Linked DNA regions of Mus musculus: regions 2, 3, 4 and 5 are each reported to be linked to region 1. Evidence: microRNA targets listed by miRTarBase, many of them from high-throughput screens and not tested one by one. Region 1 holds a microRNA gene; each other region holds the end of a gene's coding sequence. Distances are from middle to middle.
The links. The annotated mature microRNA mmu-miR-181a-5p reads AACAUUCAACGCUGUCGGUGAGU and lies in region 1 at 1,275-1,297, opposite strand. An mRNA with a match to its seed (bases 2 to 7 or 8) in the 3' UTR can be bound and repressed. Matches are read on the target gene's strand: a 7mer-m8 pairs with bases 2 to 8, a 7mer-A1 pairs with bases 2 to 7 and ends in A, and an 8mer does both.

Region 1 (4,316 bases):
GAGATGCCCCAAGCAAGGCAGGCACTTGTGAACTAACTACGTAAAATACTGTGGGAATGAATATTCTGAACACTAGAGCAAGGTCCCAGGAATGGATTTCTGTAGTGGGAGTTGAATGTATATCATAATAAACTGATCAAGAGAGAGAAAGGACAATATGTTTGATAGATTTTTTCCCAACGAATTAAAATCTATTAGGTACCATGTACTAGGTACCATGTACACACTGTATGCTGAACATCCTGTTATAAATATTAACTCCAACCACTGTACTTACTATTGGAGGTGATGAACCTTAATGACAGATGTTCTTTTTGAAATTATAGAGCCAAACTAGTTAGGAAACACACACACACACACACACACACACACACACACACACACACACACACACTTGCTTGAAGACAGTCCCTGGAATCAAGTCTACCATTTCAGAAGAAAGTAGAGGGTAAATAAAGATGATGAACTATAATCTTAAATCTGAGGTCTCTCTGGGGAAACAAATCTATTGCATGATTATAATGAGCCCCTGGATAACAAAGTACTTGGCTATTGAGGTACTATCCCTCTGCCTACCAATTCCATAGAGAGTAGAGCCATTTCAGCGATTCTTTATGCAGAGCAAAAGAATTCCCTCTTGCTTCAAGCCCATTTTGACCAAGAAATCTAATGAAAGATGAGGGGATGGTTATTTTCTGTGTAACAATGTGACGGATAACGGGGCAGGAAGTAAGATATTTCTTTGGTTCTTCCTCCCACCAGCACAGCAGAGCAGGAAGCCGTGCCAACCCAGGGCTACACAGTTGATTCTGGGCATCCAACACTTTAGCATTTTTAAGAAATGCCCCATTTGTAACCCCCAGGAGTATAGAAAAGCAGTATTCTTATATAAATTAGTGACTTCCTCACAGAAATAGGACTTGATATGAATTGAATAAACAAACCTGAAAGTTCAGACAGCAGAAGTTAAACCGAGAAACGGCGTTAATACCCCCAGGACCTCTATTAGGGAGGGAACGTCTGTTGATTGCGACAGCAAAAAGCGGGGCCACAGTTGCATTCATTGTTCAGTGAGCTTTTCTACACAGTTCAACCCACCGACAGCAATGAATGTTGATTGTGACCTTTGTAAACATAGTCTCTGAAGAGGCGGGGAGAATCCTGTCGGGTCCTGCTTTGCGGTTCTGTCTTCAGCAAACGCAGAGGGCCATGGAGTAGATGATGGTTAGCTATAGGGTACAATCAACGGTCGATGGTTTTTATTTGAATTCCAAACTCACCGACAGCGTTGAATGTTCACTGAAGCAACCTGTGAGGCAGAGATGTGCTGATTTAAACAGTATCTGTGGGAGTCTGGAGCAGGAGGGAGGCAGAGGAAAGCCCAATCCTTTAACCAAACCTGTCACACATTTTAAACCATTTCAAAAGAGTACAGAAGAAAAGAAGCAGGATTCCTCCAGCCCAGAGCTTGGCAAACCTCCACTTTGTGCTGTGTCAAAGAAAAGAATCGGATTTTTTTTTTTCAAAAGGGAAGAAAAGTCCTTTTGGGGGGAGCTTAGTTACAGGCTGTTAAAGACAGGGAGAATTTATCATTCAACAAAATTGGAACTATCAAAAAGCAAAACAAATAGTATCTAAGTATCTCATAATTTAAATATTGGTATGTATATAATAAGAACTGCAAGGACGCATGTAGGTCATGCAGAATCAAGCAGAAACCACTTAGGTTTTCTCAAGTTACATTGCTAACAATTTTGAACTTCTATGTTTACAATGTGCATGGAATAAGCATTTATTTTACAATAGGCATTTTAATTAGTATAATTTCTTTTAAACATACTTATTTTTAAAACAATCAAGGAATCAAACCAATTTAGCACATCTTTCTTTGCTTATGACACAAGACTTTAAACTACAATGAAAATTAATACAACCTATGCCTACTGCCTGAAATTCAACTCCTCTCACTTTGGTTATTATATCCTAATATTGTTATTTGTTTTGATTGAGTGGATCTGGCAGTAACTTCTATCCATTTCCTAGGTGTTCTTGAAATGAAGTGCATTTACAAGTTAGTATGAACTCTATTGAGCATGTCTTCAAAACTGATTTCAAATATCAACTTAAACAAAAATCCCTTTGTACTCCTCAAAACTAGGGTAGAAAGTTACTACATTATACTTATGTAGACTCTTAAGTGGCTTTAATAAGTATATATATATATATATATATATATATATATATATATATATATATATGTGTGTGTGTGTGTGTGTGTGTGTGTGTGTGTGTGTGTGTGTGTGTGTAACTATTAATAAAATATTGGTGAACCATTCAGTCCAAATTTTTATACATATTCATTTTATTTACTTAGAATATTGTATGCTAAACCTGTAATCATTTATTATCTTGTACACGAAGAGATTACAGGACAAGTGTCTCTGGCTGGTATTTTGAGGTAGATAAGGTAACGATCTGCTGATGGCATGCATTCAGACTTCAGATAGTTACAAGACATAAAACTGATGAATCTGAATAGTCCTGTGTGGCTTCCTTTGAGATAGCTTTCCTGCAGAGGGCTGTCTCTTGTGGAAGGAAAGCAAGTCTTCCTGGGACCATCTGTGTTATCAGTTTCACCAGAATGCATGTTGCTCATGTTCCCTTGCTTGACCACTGCACTATCATATTCAGGCCAGCATCCCATTGCTTCTATACATACCTGTCATTGCTTTTGATATCATTTTTTCAAGGCTGCTGAGCTGAGACTCTAAGCCATGATCATTGCCTTATCTCAATATACAAAATTGGAACTACGATCAAGCAATTTCCATCCGAATCACAATTAATAGCAAAGCACCGCAATGTGAGGGGTTTCCAGAACCTTCTAAAATTCTCTGTAGAAAATATAAGTCCAAATTTCTCAAATTCTTAGAATAAAATTACGGAGAATACTATCATGAAGTTCTTAGGAGATTGAAAGTGATTGGTGTTTAGTAAGAAATTAGATTAAACATCACATCACTGACATATTTTAACTCCTATTTATCCAATGAAACATGTACTTTTCTCATGGCTATAGTTTTTGATGAGAAAAACCTCTCAATAACTTAAACTCACTCTCCATGAGGAAAAGCACCTCTGCTCTTGCTGCACCTGCCTCACAGTAAGAGAATAACTTCAGGACGGTATTCTACAGGGGAAAGATGTCTACTTGCTGATTTAGCTTACCTTTCCTCGGCTTTCTACAATGCTGGTTCCAATCACTATTTTACTAGCTAACCTTGTCTGCACTGTTATTTTCCAAATTTGATAATTGGCTGGAATATTAATGTTGGACAGTATTGAAATTTTACATTTTCTGTCAGGTGTCGAGTCTTATTTGACTATTTTTAGAAAATGTTAAGATTCCAGGATTCTAAATTGGTGTTAACCATCTGCTTCCTTGCAGTTTTTCCTGAATCAAGAGCCACCAGAAATATGTCATTTGTGTGCACGTAGGCAACCATTCTCCCTTCATAATTTTTGGAAGGTCTTCTGGACAGGTTAAAACTGACTTGCACCATTGCCAAATTTACTTTAGCTTTTATTTCTCCTCCCGGGGCTTTGGAAGCATTAAGAAGTTCAGCTTTGCTTAAGGTTAGCGGGTCATAAATAAACCAAAGCAATTTCTTTGCTTTGAGCAAGAGGGTCAGAGAATACATGAAATATCACTTTTAAGCAAAGCAAACTTTAACATGAATTGACAGAGGAGCATGAAAAAGAAGCACAGTGCGCCTCAGTAAAAGGCCACAGGGATTCGGGATGCTGGGCTTGTCTGTTTTAGAAATAGACTGTATATCTTGTTTGATGACCTGTATTTAATTTAAGTGACTGCCTCTGCCAGTCCTTTCCAGAGGGCAAGTGTGTGAAATAGAGCATCTCACTGTCACTCTGCAGCCCTCTCTTCTGCCGGATGCCTTGACCTGAATTGGGATGGGGGCATTGATCTGACAAATGAGAGGGAAGGAGATGGCGCTGCCACGCACATTTCATCCTTAAATTCTAGTCAGCTGGAAATTGTCTTCGTGGTCTGGGGTAGGAACACATTCATAAGCTCATTAAAAACTAGTTTTCTGCTGTGAATATGACTCTTTTCAAAATGCAAGAAGTAAGAAATGTCATACTCGCAGTAGGAAACATTACTGCCTCCTCCTTTCCAAAGCAAGCGCATGCCCTCTGTGAAATATGATGAAGAAGATTCCAGAATGACTGGAGTTGGTGTTCTCAAGACGCCACTTCTTAATGTCCATGTCTATTTCTGTTGGGGTATCATTTAT
Region 2 (4,000 bases), 73 Mb from region 1:
CTGAGCCCGTTGTGGGCTTTTATCAGGGTGCTAAGCATCTGAATCCAGTCCACTGCTTGTGCGTTGGTACTTTACCTACTGAGCTATTTTTAGGTAGTTGGAAAAGATACATTTTTTACCTAGTGCGTGTACACATGCATGGGAGCAGATAAGTAAAGAAGAAGCAGTAGGTTCTCACCATCAGCCATGTGGGGTTCAGGGGCTGCGCTCAGATTGTCCAGCTTAGCAGCAAGGGGCATTACCAGTGTGCTGCCGCATCAGGCAATGCCAGTATCATTTCCTGAGCATTTCTTGTATAATACTGAACGTTTGCTTATTTCAGCTGTTTCTCTAGAAAACATTCTGTTCTAAAATTAGTGGAATGGAGTTTATGAACATAAATTTTTTTGTGTTTTTCATTTTTAGGGAGGCAGCAAGAGAATGTCGTAGAAAGAAGAAAGAATATGTGAAATGTTTAGAGAACAGAGTGGCAGTGCTTGAAAACCAAAACAAAACATTGATTGAGGAGCTAAAAGCACTTAAGGACCTTTACTGCCACAAATCAGATTAATTTGGGATTTAAGTTCTCTCCTGTTACGGTGGAGAATGGACTGGCTTGGCCACAACCAGAAAGACAAGTAAACATTTATTTTCTAAACATTTCTTTTTTTCTATGCGCAAAACTGCCTGAAAGCAACTACAGAATTTCATTCATTTCTGCTTTTGCATTAAACTGTGAATGTTCCAAAAACTACTTCCACTTCTGCCCTCAAGAAATGTGCAGCGCCAGGAATCATGAAGAGACTTCTGCCCTCCGTCTCCACCACCCTCAAGAAGTAATCATTTGCTTATTTGTAAATTGTTGGGGGAAATGAGGAAAATGAAATCTTGGCTTTCTTATTTTTGTTTTAGGTTTGTTTTGTTTGTTTTCTTATTAATGACTTCAAGGTTTGTTGAGCTCCATGATTGCCTTAGGGACAGTTACCCAGCCTGCTGAGCTGACGTAATGTGTGGGCCACACAGGAAAGTAAGGAAGGTGCAATGAAGAAGTGTTGACTGCCAAATTAATGTTTTTACACTTTCATTGTGAATTATGTCGAACTATTAAAAACATCCTTTAAATAAGGATATTAGTGTGGTGTTGGGAGTAAACTTTATATGTATGTTCCTTTCTTCAGCACTGACAAGTTGTCCTTGGTGCTGAGAAGCACGGTATTGGCTACAGTTCCTCTGTAGGGCAGTTGTTGCTTCTTCATTCAGTTCTGTGTGTTCAGCAGTTTGAATACATTAACAGAAGTAACCAACTGAATGGAAAGCATGGTTTTGAATTTTGAGTTAAGTTAAAATCATACTATAAAGCTTATTCTGGTGAGTACTAAGTCTTAATGAGTAGGTGCTGGCCAGGAAGCTAACTCCTTGAGTTATACAATAAGGTGTTTAATAAATAAAGACTTTTGTCCTTGCTTTCCGAATCCTCATACTGTCACTCATTTACCTAGTCCACTGCTGCATTTACACTGTGCAGCCAACAGGAGCGTTTTCAAGATGTCCAGCCAAAGTGATGGAAAGTACTAAATAGACAACCTTTTCTATAGTCATATTTTTATCAGAGAATCTCTTGGGATTTTTTTTTTTAAATCAAAGAAGTTACAAGGATGTGATTCTAAAACATTGTGTTAAATGCACACAAGAAAAGTAATTTCCTTCAGACATTGGAGTGTGTGCTATGGTACAATATTTGGCAAACACTTTTTTTTTTCTCCTAAAAAAGGTGGTACTGCTTTAACTATCCAAAAGCTGTTCTGTTTCTGAAGATGTTTCTACTTACATCCTTACCTATAGTCTACATTTATGTGTAACATTGTTTCTGATAAGACTTAGTAATAACTCATTTTTTTTTTATTAAACCTAATAAAATCTAAGAGTTACCTCTTTAAAAGACAAATATGAGGACAGTGGAGGCTGGCATGTTAGGTTACTTCACGTTTGAGGAAGAACTCAGACTCAGAAGAGTGTCTTATATTTGCTTTGGGATATTAAGAAAGTTAATATTAATATCAGTATACGTATGAGCGGGAACTGTTTGGCCCATTTCTAAGCTAAGACTAGGTTGCTATCTGTAAATGTTCTACGTTGTTTATAACAAACCATTGTCTTTTTTCAAGGATGAACAGTTTGTGAAGGACATGATTCTAGGAGTTGAGTGATGTAATAATCCTTCTGTCTGGACAGTTCACCAGATTCTCCAGAAGGCTTTCAAACGGCTAAAGTTTGATCTTTGTCCTGCTGAGCTTGCTGGGAAGGAGATAGCATAAAAGCTGTCTGTGCTAGCAAGTAGATGTATCATTTGCTAAACGTGGTGAAACAAAAAGGAAGCAGAATCACAAATCTGTCAACAAACTGGAATTACTTCACATTAAGTCAGAATGTCAGATTGAACATTTTAAATGTCACAAGTGGAAAATTTGCCTAGCGTGCAGAAGTTGTAATCTCTAAGTGTCTATCTTCAAAAGTCGAGGTTTTCTACATAATGAGGAAACAGGTGGTCTCCTTAACCCTTTAGAGACCAAGGCAGTCTCAGCCATACTTCCTAGTTGGATGGATATTAATTTACAGAGGCCTGGGTCTTTATGCTTGGAGCATGACTGTACTAGTTTGACACCAGTTACTTGATAATGTGAGAAATATATGGTGTTGTGAAACCTGACTTTGAAATTTCAGTTCATACAGAAAGAAATCAAAGCCTCTTTAATGCAAGCTGGATTTTTTTTTTAACATGAGAATGAGAAAAACAAAAACAAAAACTTGTTTTTGAGCTATGTGGAGAATCTTTATTAAGAAAATGACATAATTTTTTAAAAACTCTTATATCCAAAATTGTATGTGGCCACATTATCGGTAATGTTTTCTCTTCATGTTGGCCAAAAGGGAATGGAACTGTCATAGGAATCTGTACATATGCTACTGATTTGCCTAGAGAATAGAAGTTTGGTACTGCTCACTTTGCATATATATAGTGGCACTTTTATCTATAGGGCAGATTAACTCTAATAAAAATGAAATGGGGATAGGTTTATTTTTGATATATTACTCTTCTGAGTTTTCAAGCTTTGATAGTGTTTAACTGAAAAATGGTTTAGAAAGGGCTAGATCCAATATGTTCATATTTAAAAAATTGATATGAGATACAATTTAAGTTCTTTATCAAAAGCAAGTACCATATTAGCAACCATCATATTGTCCTAGGTGCTGTGCTTGTTTAGATGGTATAGTGTGGGTGGGGACGTGGCATTTTGTAATATATGTGTACATATATACATACATACAGTATATCATCTAAATGCTCTGAGAGCTGGTATGTCAGGAATGCTGAGTATTATAGCGTATTGAGGTCCGGTGAGATTCCACTTTGCTGTGCTTTCTCCTGCATCTCTTCTGGTGTTTCAGTGACTGTTTTACTCCAGCACTCACAACTGGGTTTTCTCTTTTCTTCCAGTTTTTTATTAGGTTTTTGTTTTGTTTGGCTTGATGCTTTTGAGTATGTTACCAGTCACTTAAAAACTCCTAAACCCCAAGCTCTTTTCCCCCTGCTTTGTTTCTGGCAGCTATAAAATTGGTAAGAACATTTTGAAAAAAGGTTTTAAGAGAATTGTTTCAAGAATCATTTTGGGCAAAGACTTTTCATGTTTCATTTGAACAGGGATTTTTGTCAAGATGTGTTTTGATGGTAGGCCAGCAAGCAGTGCTACTGTCTAAAGCACAAACCAGTCAGGCAGGCTGTCCAGCCAGAAGCCCTCTTGGCTGAAGCCGGTCTCTGCCTCTCAGGACTCCTCCCTACTATTTTCGACCATTTAGGGTGACATGGAATCATACAAATATTGGGGCTTAGAAACAAACATTTATATAACCCGGAATGCTTTTACGTACTTGAAGTGACTTCAGTCAAAATGTTGCCTTTCCTGTTTAGGAAGCTTTGGTTCTCTGTTGACTCGTCAGCTAGTAACACAAATCGGTTTCTCTA
Region 3 (4,000 bases), not on the chromosome of region 1:
GTTATCGCTGTTGTTTAAGTATTCTAAAAATTTAAAGAAACAGACTTAAGAAACCACCGCTATAGCAACTGTATTCTTGTCCACAGGTGGAGACATACTTCGCCTTGATACGCTTTTAGAATGGTGGAGAGAGAAGAACGGTTCCTTCTGTTCCCGGCTTATCATCATCTTAGACAGCGAGAATTCAACCCCATGGGTGAAAGAAGTGAGAAAGATTAATGACCAGTATGTTGCAGTTCAGGGAGCTGAGCTGGCGAAGACAGTAGATATTGAAGAAGCTGACCCGCCACAGCTGGGTGACTTTACTAGAGACTGGGTAGAATACAACTGTAACTCCACAAACAACATCTGCTGGACTGAGAAGGGGCGCACAGTGAGGGCCGTGTATGGCGTGTCAAAGCGCTGGAGCGACTACACGCTGCACCTGCCGACAGGAAGCGATGTGGCCAAGCACTGGATGTTACACTTCCCTCGGGTTACGTATCCGTTAGTGCACTTGGCCAACTGGTTATGTGGCCTGAACCTCTTTTGGGTCTGCAAAGCTTGTTTTAGGTGCTTGAAAAGGTTAAAAATGAGTTGGTTTCTTCCTACAGTGCTGGACACAGGACAAGGCTTTAAACTTGTCAAATCTTAATGTGGACATCAAGGAAGGCTATTATTGAGAGTTCATGTTACCATTTATCAGTAACTTGCCATTTTTTGTATGCTGTATTTTTATTTGTGGAAAGTATCTTGCTACATTTGTAGCTGTTCTCACTTTGTCTTTTCTTAAGTAATTATGGGATGTGGAAGATATTGGGAATATGCATGATTTTATACTAAAAGTATATGGAGGGTCATGAAAATGCTGAATGTAAATGTGTAAGAGATGTTAAAAGTAACAGTGCACTTTCAAATAACTTTCCATTTGTCTCCAATGAAAAGAAACACAGTTGTCTGTGCTCTGGAGTGGCCAATGGACAATTCCTAATGCCTTATTTTCTAGGCACCCGTTAGAGAATGTAGACCAGACAAGTGTGTTTTAAGAGAACTACCAGTTTACTTAGTAGGAGATTCTTTCATGTGTGTGATTCATATAGGTTTGGCCCCAGGACTGTTTGCAGAAGTATAAATACTTGGAGCAGGAAGAGACCTGCTCATAATGACTGCAAAATGCCCTTTTACCACCACACCCAGATGTCTTGGCTATGACCTTTACAGTACAGCAGAAAAGCCCCAACTGCCTTTGAGATGAAAGCATTGTTAATGTAGGTAACAATAAGAGCTTACATGCTACAAAGTGTTCCTTCATGGTTAGTGAGGGACTTTGAAAATACTGGTAAATTTAAGAGTCCTTCTCAGGGTAATTTTGTTTTCTTAATGAGTAGTATTTCCAGCTACAAATTCCTTTCAAGTAAATTGCCATTCTTTTCAAAAAGTACACACTTACAAAAATAAATGTATCAGTTTCTCATTGACCGATTCTTCCTGTCTTACGTATTTATGAGGAGTTAGTACTCTGCCATGAAAGTTGCTTTTCAGTCCTATTGTAATAACTTTTTTCTGCTGAAGGTCAAGGATGGGAACAGATCATTTTGTTGTTGTTGTTGTTATATACCTGTATTGTATTATGTAAAAAAGTATTCATTTTGGCAGTTTTAGGTAAGCATAATGGTATGGTTGTAATTTGTAAACTTTAATTCAGTGTTTTGTTGGAGTAAAGTAGGCGCTGATCAGGATATCTCCTTAAGAGGTAAGTCACTTCCTGTCCCCTTCCAATTATCCTTACATTCTAGATTTTCATCTTTGAAAGAGGGAGGTATAATTAAAGTGGAGATTAGACTTTGTTACCATGGTGACTTCTCACCGTTGAAGCCATTTTTCCATGCCCAGAGAGGGAAGGTAACGGATGCATCTACCATTTTCTACCAATGACTTGAAAACTGACATTTTATTTAGAAAGAAGTCACACCATCAGGGAACTTGTATACTGTTATCTATGCAGCATTGCTACAGCCTATTTCTATGTTTTGAATATTGTACTCTTAATACTTTGAATAATATTTTGTTAAAAATTAATTTTTCATTTAATGTGAAATTAAGAGTTCCTGAATATTTTACTGTATTAAAAGTGGAAGTTATACAAAATGCCTTTGCTTTTAGAGTTTATGTTTGGTGGCATGTTGATTTGAAAATATTTCCTTATTCCAGAATACTGAAGAATTGATACAATATTGAAAGTTAGTGGCATCCTATATACAATATTTTTTTTAAAAAATGAATCTTGTTTTACAACTAGAAATACAGATAGTAAATTTCACTGAATAAATCATTCATTTGTGTGCATCTTGAATTTCAGATGGGTGCCATTTCACATCAGTTTTGTATAATTTTTAGGTTCTTCAGGTCCACAATTAAATAAGGAAACTAGCGTTGAGATGTTACCTTGCTGTGCACATATCTGTGTATCAGGAGCTAGGCTCCCCTACCTAAGTGGAAAGGCATTGCTCTCTCTAGCTCTAATCCTACAATTCCTTTCTTCCTTTCCATATGAAACAACTCTATACACAGCCATGGGTATTGTCTATGATCTAATTATTCTAAGTATTTTTCTGTGATTGATTTTATTACACCTTCCCAAATGCTCTTAATAATTTAACATAGAAATTTGTATTTTATAAATTATGAAACTAAGGCAGTGGACTCTTACAAAAATGACAGAATAATAAACTGCTCTGAAGCTAATTTGAGACCCACATTGTGTCTCAGACTCAGCTCTGGTTCAGAACCCTTTACTACTTTCCAATCAAATGTCTGTAGTGTGTCTGCTGTCCTTTTCCTCTCATGGTAGGATGAGCGTTCTTGAGGCTTTGACAGGGAACTCCTTCAGGCTTACATTGTATGGGTTATAAATGTATGTACAGCAGTATGTACACAAACATGTTCCTTGTATACAAAAGTTCACATTTTTTTTCAACTTTCACTGTATATTATACCCATAGCAACCCAAGCCCCACACACAGCAGTCCGCTTACATTACTCCTGGTAACTCACCAATTATCTCCCTATTGTCAAGTGAGTAGGCATTATTTCTGTTGCTTTCCAGAGCATCTTTTAACTACTTACCCCCCTGTATGTTTGGTTTCTATAGTACTATTGACTTTCTTGTTACTACTCATGACACCCCTTAGTATGTTGGTCTATTTTCTAACCCTTTCTCTTTATAATTAGTATATTAACCTGAAGATCACTGCCGGGTCCGTCAGCTGTGTTCCAGAGCCTTGTTCACGTGTGAGAACTGTAAGTCTGTAAGTCATTGATTATTCTCAGATGTCTTCCTTAGCAGTTGTCTCTGCACGTGTGTCTAGCATTCATGTACTGAAAGGTGCCTTTTGTGTATTACTCAGTTCAGCAAGTGCCAGTGAAGAGTCCACCTTGCCCTACGTGTTGCTCCATTCCCTTATAGCCTATGTATGTGTGCACTCTTCTGCTGGCTACTCCGAGCTTTCCTCTTGATTTCCCTGCTTCCTTATTCCCAGAACGTTGCCAGTGCTTTTGGTATTTGCAGAGCTCCTCACTTGTCTCCCCTCCTATTGCTTTTGTCTTACAAAATCACTTCACTTTCTCAACCATCTCAAGTCCTGGTTTTTGTTTTCTTTTCTCTTTGGTTTTGTTCCTTTCTAATTAAATCTCCATATATTTTTCAGAGCTAATCTATCACTCTATGAGCATGAGACTGGTTTACCATTCAGCAGTATCCTGCCTCTAGTCATCCCTCATTTTGTACTAAAAACTATCTGCAAAATCTTTAGAGGAACTATTGGGTTTCAAAAAAATAGTCTCATGTGGATTAACACCATGCTGTGACATTTGTCCCAGTTACCACATTTAGCCTCCTTGGCAGAGTAGACAGACAGTGCTGTTGGCATAAATCTGGTATGATGGATTTTTCCCACATCTGTATGAATCACATGCACCCAGGAGAGGTGGTCAGAGTAGATGACAGGCATAAACAGAAGTT
Region 4 (4,000 bases), not on the chromosome of region 1:
CTCTAACACACATAAGAGATGGAACCTATTCCAGATGACACTTTCAAATTCTTGCACATTTGAAGACAGGAAAAGAGGCCAGTATACAAACTTCCCGGTGTGCGGTGTGCTGTGTGTGCAATGGAACCATTTGCATTGGAGTGGACATCCTAGGTGAGGTGTGGGGGGGAGGGGAGGGGAGGGGAGGGGAGAGCAAGCCTTGCACTTCCTCCATCACTTTCACTGACCTCCTCAAGGGAGGGGGGATTGGAGAGGGGAGTAGCACATTCGTGCAATCAGAAGGCCACTTGAGGGGGGGGGCAATTGTTCTTTTTAGAATCTGGTACCTGGCTGACCTTGTTTAAGAACAATAAAACCTTCCAGAATTGGAAGCCTTTTGCTACATACCAAAAATAAACTACACATTGTTTTCCAAGAAAATACCCAGTTGCATTTGAAAAAAGAAAAAAAAAAAAAAAAGAAAAAATTAAAGGAAAACTTAACTGGAACTAATTAACATTTAAAAGGGGCTCTGTAAACTTTGTGCTATTCAAATGAAGTTCAAGTATTACTTCTGAGCTGTTTAAAGATCACGGAACTCATACAATATTCTGGTGATAAAGAGTACAATTCACATTTGTGTTTCTGAACAAATAAACCACAACTGGCTAGAACACAACTTGTGCAATTAGAATCTTTGTCTGAGTTAAAGACACATGCTACATATTTCCACATGTTCAAAGTTATTTCAAACCACATATTTAACAACTTTGTCATATACAACAAGAGTGAAAGGGCCTAGCATTGGTTTGTTTGAAGCACACCATTATAGTTTGTATAACACCCTTTACACTACAAAGTCTTTTAGTCAACAGCTACTTAGACACAAAAATGCACTATGCATCAACTTGAATACAAAAGGAGACAAAACTATCCTTTCCCCCCAAGCCATGGTGGGAAATATTGCTGACCTCGTCCTTTGAAGCCTGCAGGATGGTTATTCTTCAGTAGAACATTATTACACCGGTAAGAAAATCTGTATAATATCTGCATATATCAAGGATTTTTTAAAAAATCTGATATGATTTTAGAGTCCGCATGACCAGTCACGTGACCTGCTCAAGATTGATTAGCACCGTTAAATACATAAACACACACATATGCATGTATGCATGTGTAAGTATATGGAGACATACACGCATATATGTATGTGATAGATCTTTTCTTTAAAAACAACAACAACAACAAAAAACTAGCCGTACGCTCCCCCGGGCTGAGGAGCTCTGAAATGATGAGATGATGGAGTAGATGGATTTCACAACAAGATTGGTCTAGTCTGTCTCTCTTCAGTTTCTATGTTATCTTTACTTCTCTTTTTTCCGTTTCTCTTTCCTTTTCTTTTCTTTCTCCCCTTTCCTTTCTTCTCTCTCTCTGTCTCTGTCTTTCTGTCTCTCTCTCTCTCTGTCTCTCTCTCTCGCTCGCTCTCTCTTTTCCTAGCAGACAATATCATTCAGCTTGTGCTCACTTTCCCTATAAGGGCAAGAAAATGTCAGGTAGCAGCTTGCTTCTATACTGAAAGACTAATCCACCCACAAAGTGTGTCCAAGGAGAAACAACGGGACTTAGAAGCCCATGCTAAAGCTCAGCAGCTTATGTTTTCTCTGTATTCAATGGAACTGGCTACTGAGACTGTCTTTCAGGCTAGCAAGTAGCTTCTTAGTTAAGGCATCATAACTGAAAATGGATACGTCAACAATGGATTCTGTGGATGAAGAAATACCAAACTTCAAAGAACTCTCAAAAACTGAAGCTGTGTACTTTGCCCTGATGGCAAGGACAATGAATTCAGCCAATTACAAACTAGACAAGGATTTTCTGAACTACCAGTCTGTCACTTGTCACAGCAATTAAATGTATAAGCTTGACTATTTCAATAATTAGCGGTATGTCATAGTTGTAGAATATACATTCTGCAGCATTTCACTCACCACTTGTTCTAATGACTTCCTGTTTGAAAAAATTATATATTTCCCAAATATATATATCTCTATATACCTATATATATACTACCATAAAACAAAGGTCATCTTTTGCCAGAATCATCATGAGTTTTCCTGGGGATAAACAAAAGGGTTTCCCATTGACATCAGTAAGTTTTCTTTGTGCCATGGGAAGTATAGCCCTGCAAATGAGCTAGGCTCTAATTAACATATCTGAATGCCATCTTTACAGGTCTACCATATTATCTGTCAACACAGAAATGTGTTTCTATCAAAAGGCTGTAGTGCAGAAAGAGATTCAAACTCTTTGTAGTATCTCTGAAACTCAGCATTGTCTCTGTGATAGACAAATTTGAAATCATAGTATGTATGAACTTTTGTTTCACTAGATTATCTTTATCATGTCTTAGTAGCTAAAGTTGTCTCTGGCCAATTATGACTCATTGAAACCTAAAGCTAACAAATTTAAATGAATACAAAATAGACAAATGTCTTTTTGGTTATTTGCTCAAAATAATTTTTTTCAGCTAAAAAAATACTTTGGAGTAAGGAATTTGTGTAATCTGTTGTTTCTTATATAGAAACAATAAAATTTTATAAGAATATTCTCTAAATTGCCTTTTTAAACCCCTCTTAATTTGACTTAATTATAGTCTTCTCAAAGGCACTAAGTTCTGCATCTAATCTCTTCCCAATATATGCTGCCTTTCACAATGATTTCCGCGGCCCATTTGAAAGGTAGCTTATGCTTTTCTAAAACAGTGTTGTAGGTTGTAAATTGTTCTATAACATGAGGCAGTCTCTTCTACAGTAACACAGAAGCACAGAAGGCGTAAACAGTTCCTTGCTCTCTGTGACAAGTCCTATCATGGACCTCTGAATGTTCATTACTTACTCTAAAGCTCACTCATTTCAACCATGGGAAAAAATGTGTACTTGACCCAAATACTAAGCTGTCATAGCAAATAGAATTTTAGGCAAATTCATGAGTAATATACAAATACCTGAATTTGTTAAGAATTAATCCCCAACTCAGCTATCAAAAAATGACAATCTTACCGAAGAATACTAAAGACAAATCTAATAAACCCTCAGAAACAGCATACTTTCTTCCATCCACAGTCAAAAGAAGGAAGGAGGAAGAAAAAAAGGAACAAAGAAAGACAGAAACCTGTCTGAGATAGCAAAGCAAAAAAAGATACCTAATATTGTAAGGAAAGAAAACTTCAAAAGCTGTATGTGCTGAAAAAAAAATTCAGTGATCTAAAATAATAAAACAGGATCTTCTTAACAAATGCCATTGTCCTACCCGTTACCATGATGCTCTTAACTAACAATGTCGAAGCTTCACCATGGCAACGGAAACTATCATCATAAAATGGTACAGTAAAAGAGATAGCTAGACCAAGAAGGTGTAGGGTCTCCTGGGAAGAGGTCTGCAGAGAGGCCCAGTGACTGGTTGTGCGGCTCAGTGTCAGGAATAATGGTTGTATGGCGGAAGGGGATGCCCGATGCCATTTTGGAAATGATGATGCTGGCGATGAGCAAGGTATTCAGCATAACTCAAGGTCATCTTTTCACTACGGTACCTGAAGGGGAAGGCGGGGAAGAGAAAAGTTAACATTGAGAAACACATGGTATGCTATTATCAGAGCCAGAGGGACTCTATGAGATCATTTTATATAGTGGGAAACAAGAAGCCATGAGAGAAGCAATTAGTAGCCCAAAGTCACAGACTTGGTAAGCAGCAAAGCTGAGATCAGAACACTGATCTTAGTGCTCTTTCTGCCCTTCTACTCCAGGAATGACATTGTCCCTTTTACCCACTTTGCTATCAGGAAGGAACAAGGAAGAGGCTATCTTTTACCATCATGTCTCTATCGCCATCATAGACACATCTCATTCATTGGGCTCCTTTTATAGCAGAGACCTTCCATCACTTCCCCCTTTACTCTTCCTTTGTTCACACATCTTGGGTCTGCTCTATGCTACACGTCAGTACTGAAGCCCTCTCACTTTGT
Region 5 (4,000 bases), not on the chromosome of region 1:
AGTGTCAGTTTACGGATGGTGGATGTTTTATTGGGCATTATGAATTTTCAATTAGTGAGAAAATGGAAATGAAAGACAGACAGTAGATCATCAAGGAAGGATCACATTCAGAAACGGATAAAACACTCATTCTGTAAAGTTCAGGGCAGATTTTAACGTGACTTCATGATAAGGAAGACACTTTTTAACCTTCATAGGTCGTGGATAAGTCCTGACCTTTTTACACTGCACAAGCAAGTCTCTGTGCCGAGTTCCTTCTCAAATAGAAAGTCATGTCTTTGCTTCTTCTAAATAAAAGTGAGCTCAATGATAAAAGATGATCTTTCTTGTCAGAACAAGTAGTCCGCATCCTCCATAGGTTACTCGACTCATGGAGCCTTGCCCGCATCCCCTGTGACATGTGGATGATGCTAGCTGCTCTTCACAGACTGCTGAGAGAATTAAGTGACAGAATATATATAGTAATCCCCACACAGCCTGGCTGAAGCATTATGGGTGCTTTGTAAATAGTGACCTTTGTCTTCCTAACATGCCACAGGTATTCTTATAAATAACTGATAGGAACATGTCATAATGCCACAGGAAATACCAAATCTTCTGGCTTACCAAATAGACAGTGTGCCTCAAACTTTAAAGGGCCTGTGATTCATCCCGGATCTGCTTCTGTATAAATTTGCCTTCAGCCCGAGACTCTGCATTTCTAACGGGCTCTCGGAGGACAAGGTACTGCCTGTTAGGGACCATACTTTTAAGTAGCATACAATTAGGGCAATGACTTCTAAATACTGAGTAACCTTGACAGAGCGGGCTAAGGGGCAAAACAGAACTTTACTCTATTCCTTTATTTATGTAACGAGAGCATATCAGGGAACTCTGCATAGACTATGGAAAAAAAAGTTCGAATAAACACATTTAAAAATTTGGGAAGCTCAAATTCATTCTACACACTTTCATTTATTGTCTGGACAGATAAAGTACAAATAATTCAAACACAACAAGATTATGAAAAAAAAACATTTACAATACTTTCCCTCAGAAATCATCTAAACTAGCAAGATTAACATGAAGTCATTCATTTATAACTAAAGTATACAACTGCCTGGTCCTAAGATTTTTTTTCCTTTTTTTTCCCTCAGATTGAACACATCATAGAGAAGAGATTTTGGCATGCCTTTCCCATGAATGCTTAGCAAATGCATCAGAACTTTGCCAGCAAACTGCATTCATTCATAGCAGGTGACATATAAAGGTTTCCCTGAATGTTGAACGAGTGTTCTCTGAACTGAAATCTGGTGTTATTTATTTTTCTCCAAAAACCGAAAAGAGGAAAAAAAAATAGAAAAAAAATTTAAAGGAGTAGTCTATGATGCAGCCTCGGTTTTCGTTATCTGTCTACCACTACAACGACTACTACAAAGTTTGCCTCTTCAATGTGCAAACAACAGTCCTGTCTACATGCACTTAGTGGGTTCAGCATGGGAAAAAATGCACAAAATAAGCACAAGTTATAAATAACCATAACGTTTTATTACCATTAAGACTAAACTTGTATTGAAAAGATTTTATGTAACAAGACAAGAAAAGCAATAGCAAATTTTACTATCAACTAGATTATGCATAGCGAGTAACTGTTTCTATTACCCAGGGAAGAGCATGAACTCTTGTATTTTTTTTTGTTTCATTTTTGTTTTAAATATATAACCATACAAAGCACAAACGTACTAAAATGATCAGTGCACTGGACGTGGGAGTTTGCTCCCACGGTCCTTTTGTTCCCTTAGCTCTGTTTAGTTTTCCCCAATCTGAATTACATTAAAATAAAGACCCAGTTTTTTTTTTTAATTTTCTACTGTGCAGTAAGAAAAAATATTCACAACAAACATGACAATATATCAAACAATAGTTCTACACAAGTTACCTTGATACCTCTTTAACTGTCACTTAAATATCATAAGAAAACATCTTAAGACATATACAAACAAAACTAGCCAAGTGTTACAACTTATAATAAATTAACCAAAGGAAAAAAATAACTTTATATATATATTTATATTATATGTACACATACACACACACAACAGAAGGACACAGTAATATGCTTCTTCCCAAAGTCTAAGTAAACAAACAAGTAGTCTAGCCAATCTAGCTATATTTGATCTTGGCCAGAGGCATCATCATCACATCTGCAATTAAATAAATAAGTGTTTCAAGCAACATAAACAGTGTTTCAAATGTACCCACACAGCCCAATTTTATCAGCACGGGCTACAAAGTGAATTAGAAAATTGCTTAACGAATGTAAAGCAAATGTATCTTGTGTCTCCTCTCCTAAACACGCTTACATTTAACTATGATACTAAGATATGTAAATAATTCTGTAGCACCTACTGCTCAAACTAAGGAAGTTTTAGATTAAAAGGAAAATGAATCTTTTTAATTTTTGTTCTGCTGACATCCCATACTGATGACTTAAAGAAAAACTGTCTTTCAACTCATCTCCTTGCTTTTGGGTTTTGACTGTGGGGAACTGTGGTACCCTGGGTAGAACGAACACTCCTTTTCCCTAGCAATTAATATTTTTTATTATTATTACATGCTATGAAAAGATATGAAGATCATCTGTTTATAGCCCATCCTTCAAAAAACAGTCTACGAATCCAGTTTAAAACACACATCTTGATCTCTAAAAAGTTACCAGTGCAGTATGAACGCGACAAAGTTGTCAATTTCCCCTAAATTAGCCAGTCAAAATATTTTTTCTCAAATCCAGATTCTCTTGTAAAAATTCTTTATATTTTATAAAAATAGATTTTTCTTGAAACCCATTTTCAGCAAAGAGACCACCTCTTTGGCAACAATGTTAATGTTATTAAATTGTTAATGTCATCAGGTACACCCCCTTTCCCCGTCCCCTAACAGAAGACTGTTTTAGTTCACATGATATAAAAGAAAAAGGAAAAATAAAAAAATTTGCAAAAGTTTTTTTTCATTTTTGCAATTTTTATTATTCCTCTTTAATTTGTGTGGGGGTTTTTTAACCAATCTGATTGGATCAACATTTTTGACAAAAAAGAAAAATCTTTTTTTTCTTCCTTTGAATTCCATTACTTTGTAAAAATTGTTTGTTATTTTTTTGTGTTTTTTGTTTTTCTTCTTCAAATGAGCGAATGGTCATCTTAAAAAGACCCACCTTCAAGGAAGGTGGTAAAGTTAGCTGGCTGGGTAAAAATCCCTGCACATTGCTATCTATGTATATTATATTCAACAACGACAGCTATGAAAGAACATTCAATGCATCAAAGGTATTTTTTTGTTTTTTTTTTCTTTTTTTTTCTAAGCATTATAAAATCCTTTCCTGGTACACCTCAGGATAATCCAATGTTTTAATACTTAGGCAACGCGGGCTTATAAAGTCCATGGTTGAATATAAGCCTTGGAAAGTTTGTCTCTCTCTTTTGTGTATGTGTGTGCGCGCATGTTTTGTTCGTATATATTTATATATATATTTTAATAAGTAAGGGTGAGAAATTCAGGATTTGTGGGCTTTGTTGGTTTTAAAGGAAACTTGCAACACTCTGTCTCCCAGGCGATAGCCATTGAGGCTGGCGATGGCCATGGCTGCCTCATCGTAGTTGGTCATGGTGACGAAGCCGAATCCCTTGCACTTGTTGGTGTTGAAGTCACGGATGACCTTGACGTTGTTCACTGCGCCAAAGGGGCCAAAGAGCTGCCAGAGGACACTCTCATCAGAATCAGGGGACAGGTTATAGACGAAGATGCACCAGCCTGTCCCTGTGTGACCAGGGATGTTCATTCCCACAAGACTTGTCATCCCGTCAATGGTGATTGGGGAGAACCTGGGGGGACAAGCAGAAGGGGGGACTGGTCCAGACATCAGTCTGACCATGGATGACACACAGATGCACAGACACAGACACGGGGCAAAGGGCTGAGTGAGTGTTTGCAGGAGAGTCTTCAGGGTTTCAAAACCAAAATGCAA

Region 2: the mRNA of Creb1 is a reported target of mmu-miR-181a-5p. Seed matches in the 3' UTR shown: 7mer-m8 at 716-722.
Region 3: the mRNA of Tmem168 is a reported target of mmu-miR-181a-5p. Seed matches in the 3' UTR shown: 8mer at 849-856 and 7mer-A1 at 998-1,004.
Region 4: miRTarBase lists Ammecr1 as a target of mmu-miR-181a-5p. Seed matches in the 3' UTR shown: 7mer-A1 at 1,944-1,950.
Region 5: the mRNA of Elavl4 is a reported target of mmu-miR-181a-5p. Seed matches in the 3' UTR shown: 7mer-m8 at 3,285-3,291.

What each region holds. Positions count from the first base shown.
Region 1 is chr1:137,963,449-137,967,764 of GRCm38, reverse strand. Mir181a-1 (microRNA 181a-1) reads right to left here and starts at 1,310; the gene lies at 1,224-1,310. Mir181b-1 (microRNA 181b-1) reads right to left here and starts at 1,126; the gene lies at 1,047-1,126.
Region 2 is chr1:64,596,829-64,600,828 of GRCm38, forward strand. Creb1 (cAMP responsive element binding protein 1) reads left to right here. Exons shown (of 9, transcript NM_009952.2): 9 at 406-4,000. The coding sequence ends at 550. Among named protein-coding and RNA genes, the nearest start is that of Mettl21a, 19 kb to the right of the region's middle.
Region 3 is chr6:13,579,421-13,583,420 of GRCm38, reverse strand. It overlaps Tmem168 (transmembrane protein 168), which reads left to right. Exons shown (of 5, transcript NM_028990.5): 5 at 87-2,732. The coding sequence ends at 634. Among named protein-coding and RNA genes, the nearest start is that of Tmem168, 27 kb to the left of the region's middle.
Region 4 is chrX:142,852,080-142,856,079 of GRCm38, forward strand. Ammecr1 (Alport syndrome, mental retardation, midface hypoplasia and elliptocytosis chromosomal region gene 1) reads right to left here. Exons shown (of 6, transcript NM_019496.4): 6 at 1-3,568. The coding sequence ends at 3,454. Among named protein-coding and RNA genes, the nearest start is that of Ammecr1, 110 kb to the right of the region's middle.
Region 5 is chr4:110,202,803-110,206,802 of GRCm38, forward strand. It overlaps Elavl4 (ELAV like RNA binding protein 4), which reads right to left. Exons shown (of 7, transcript NM_010488.4): 7 at 935-3,899. The coding sequence ends at 3,530. Among named protein-coding and RNA genes, the nearest start is that of Gm33070, 52 kb to the left of the region's middle.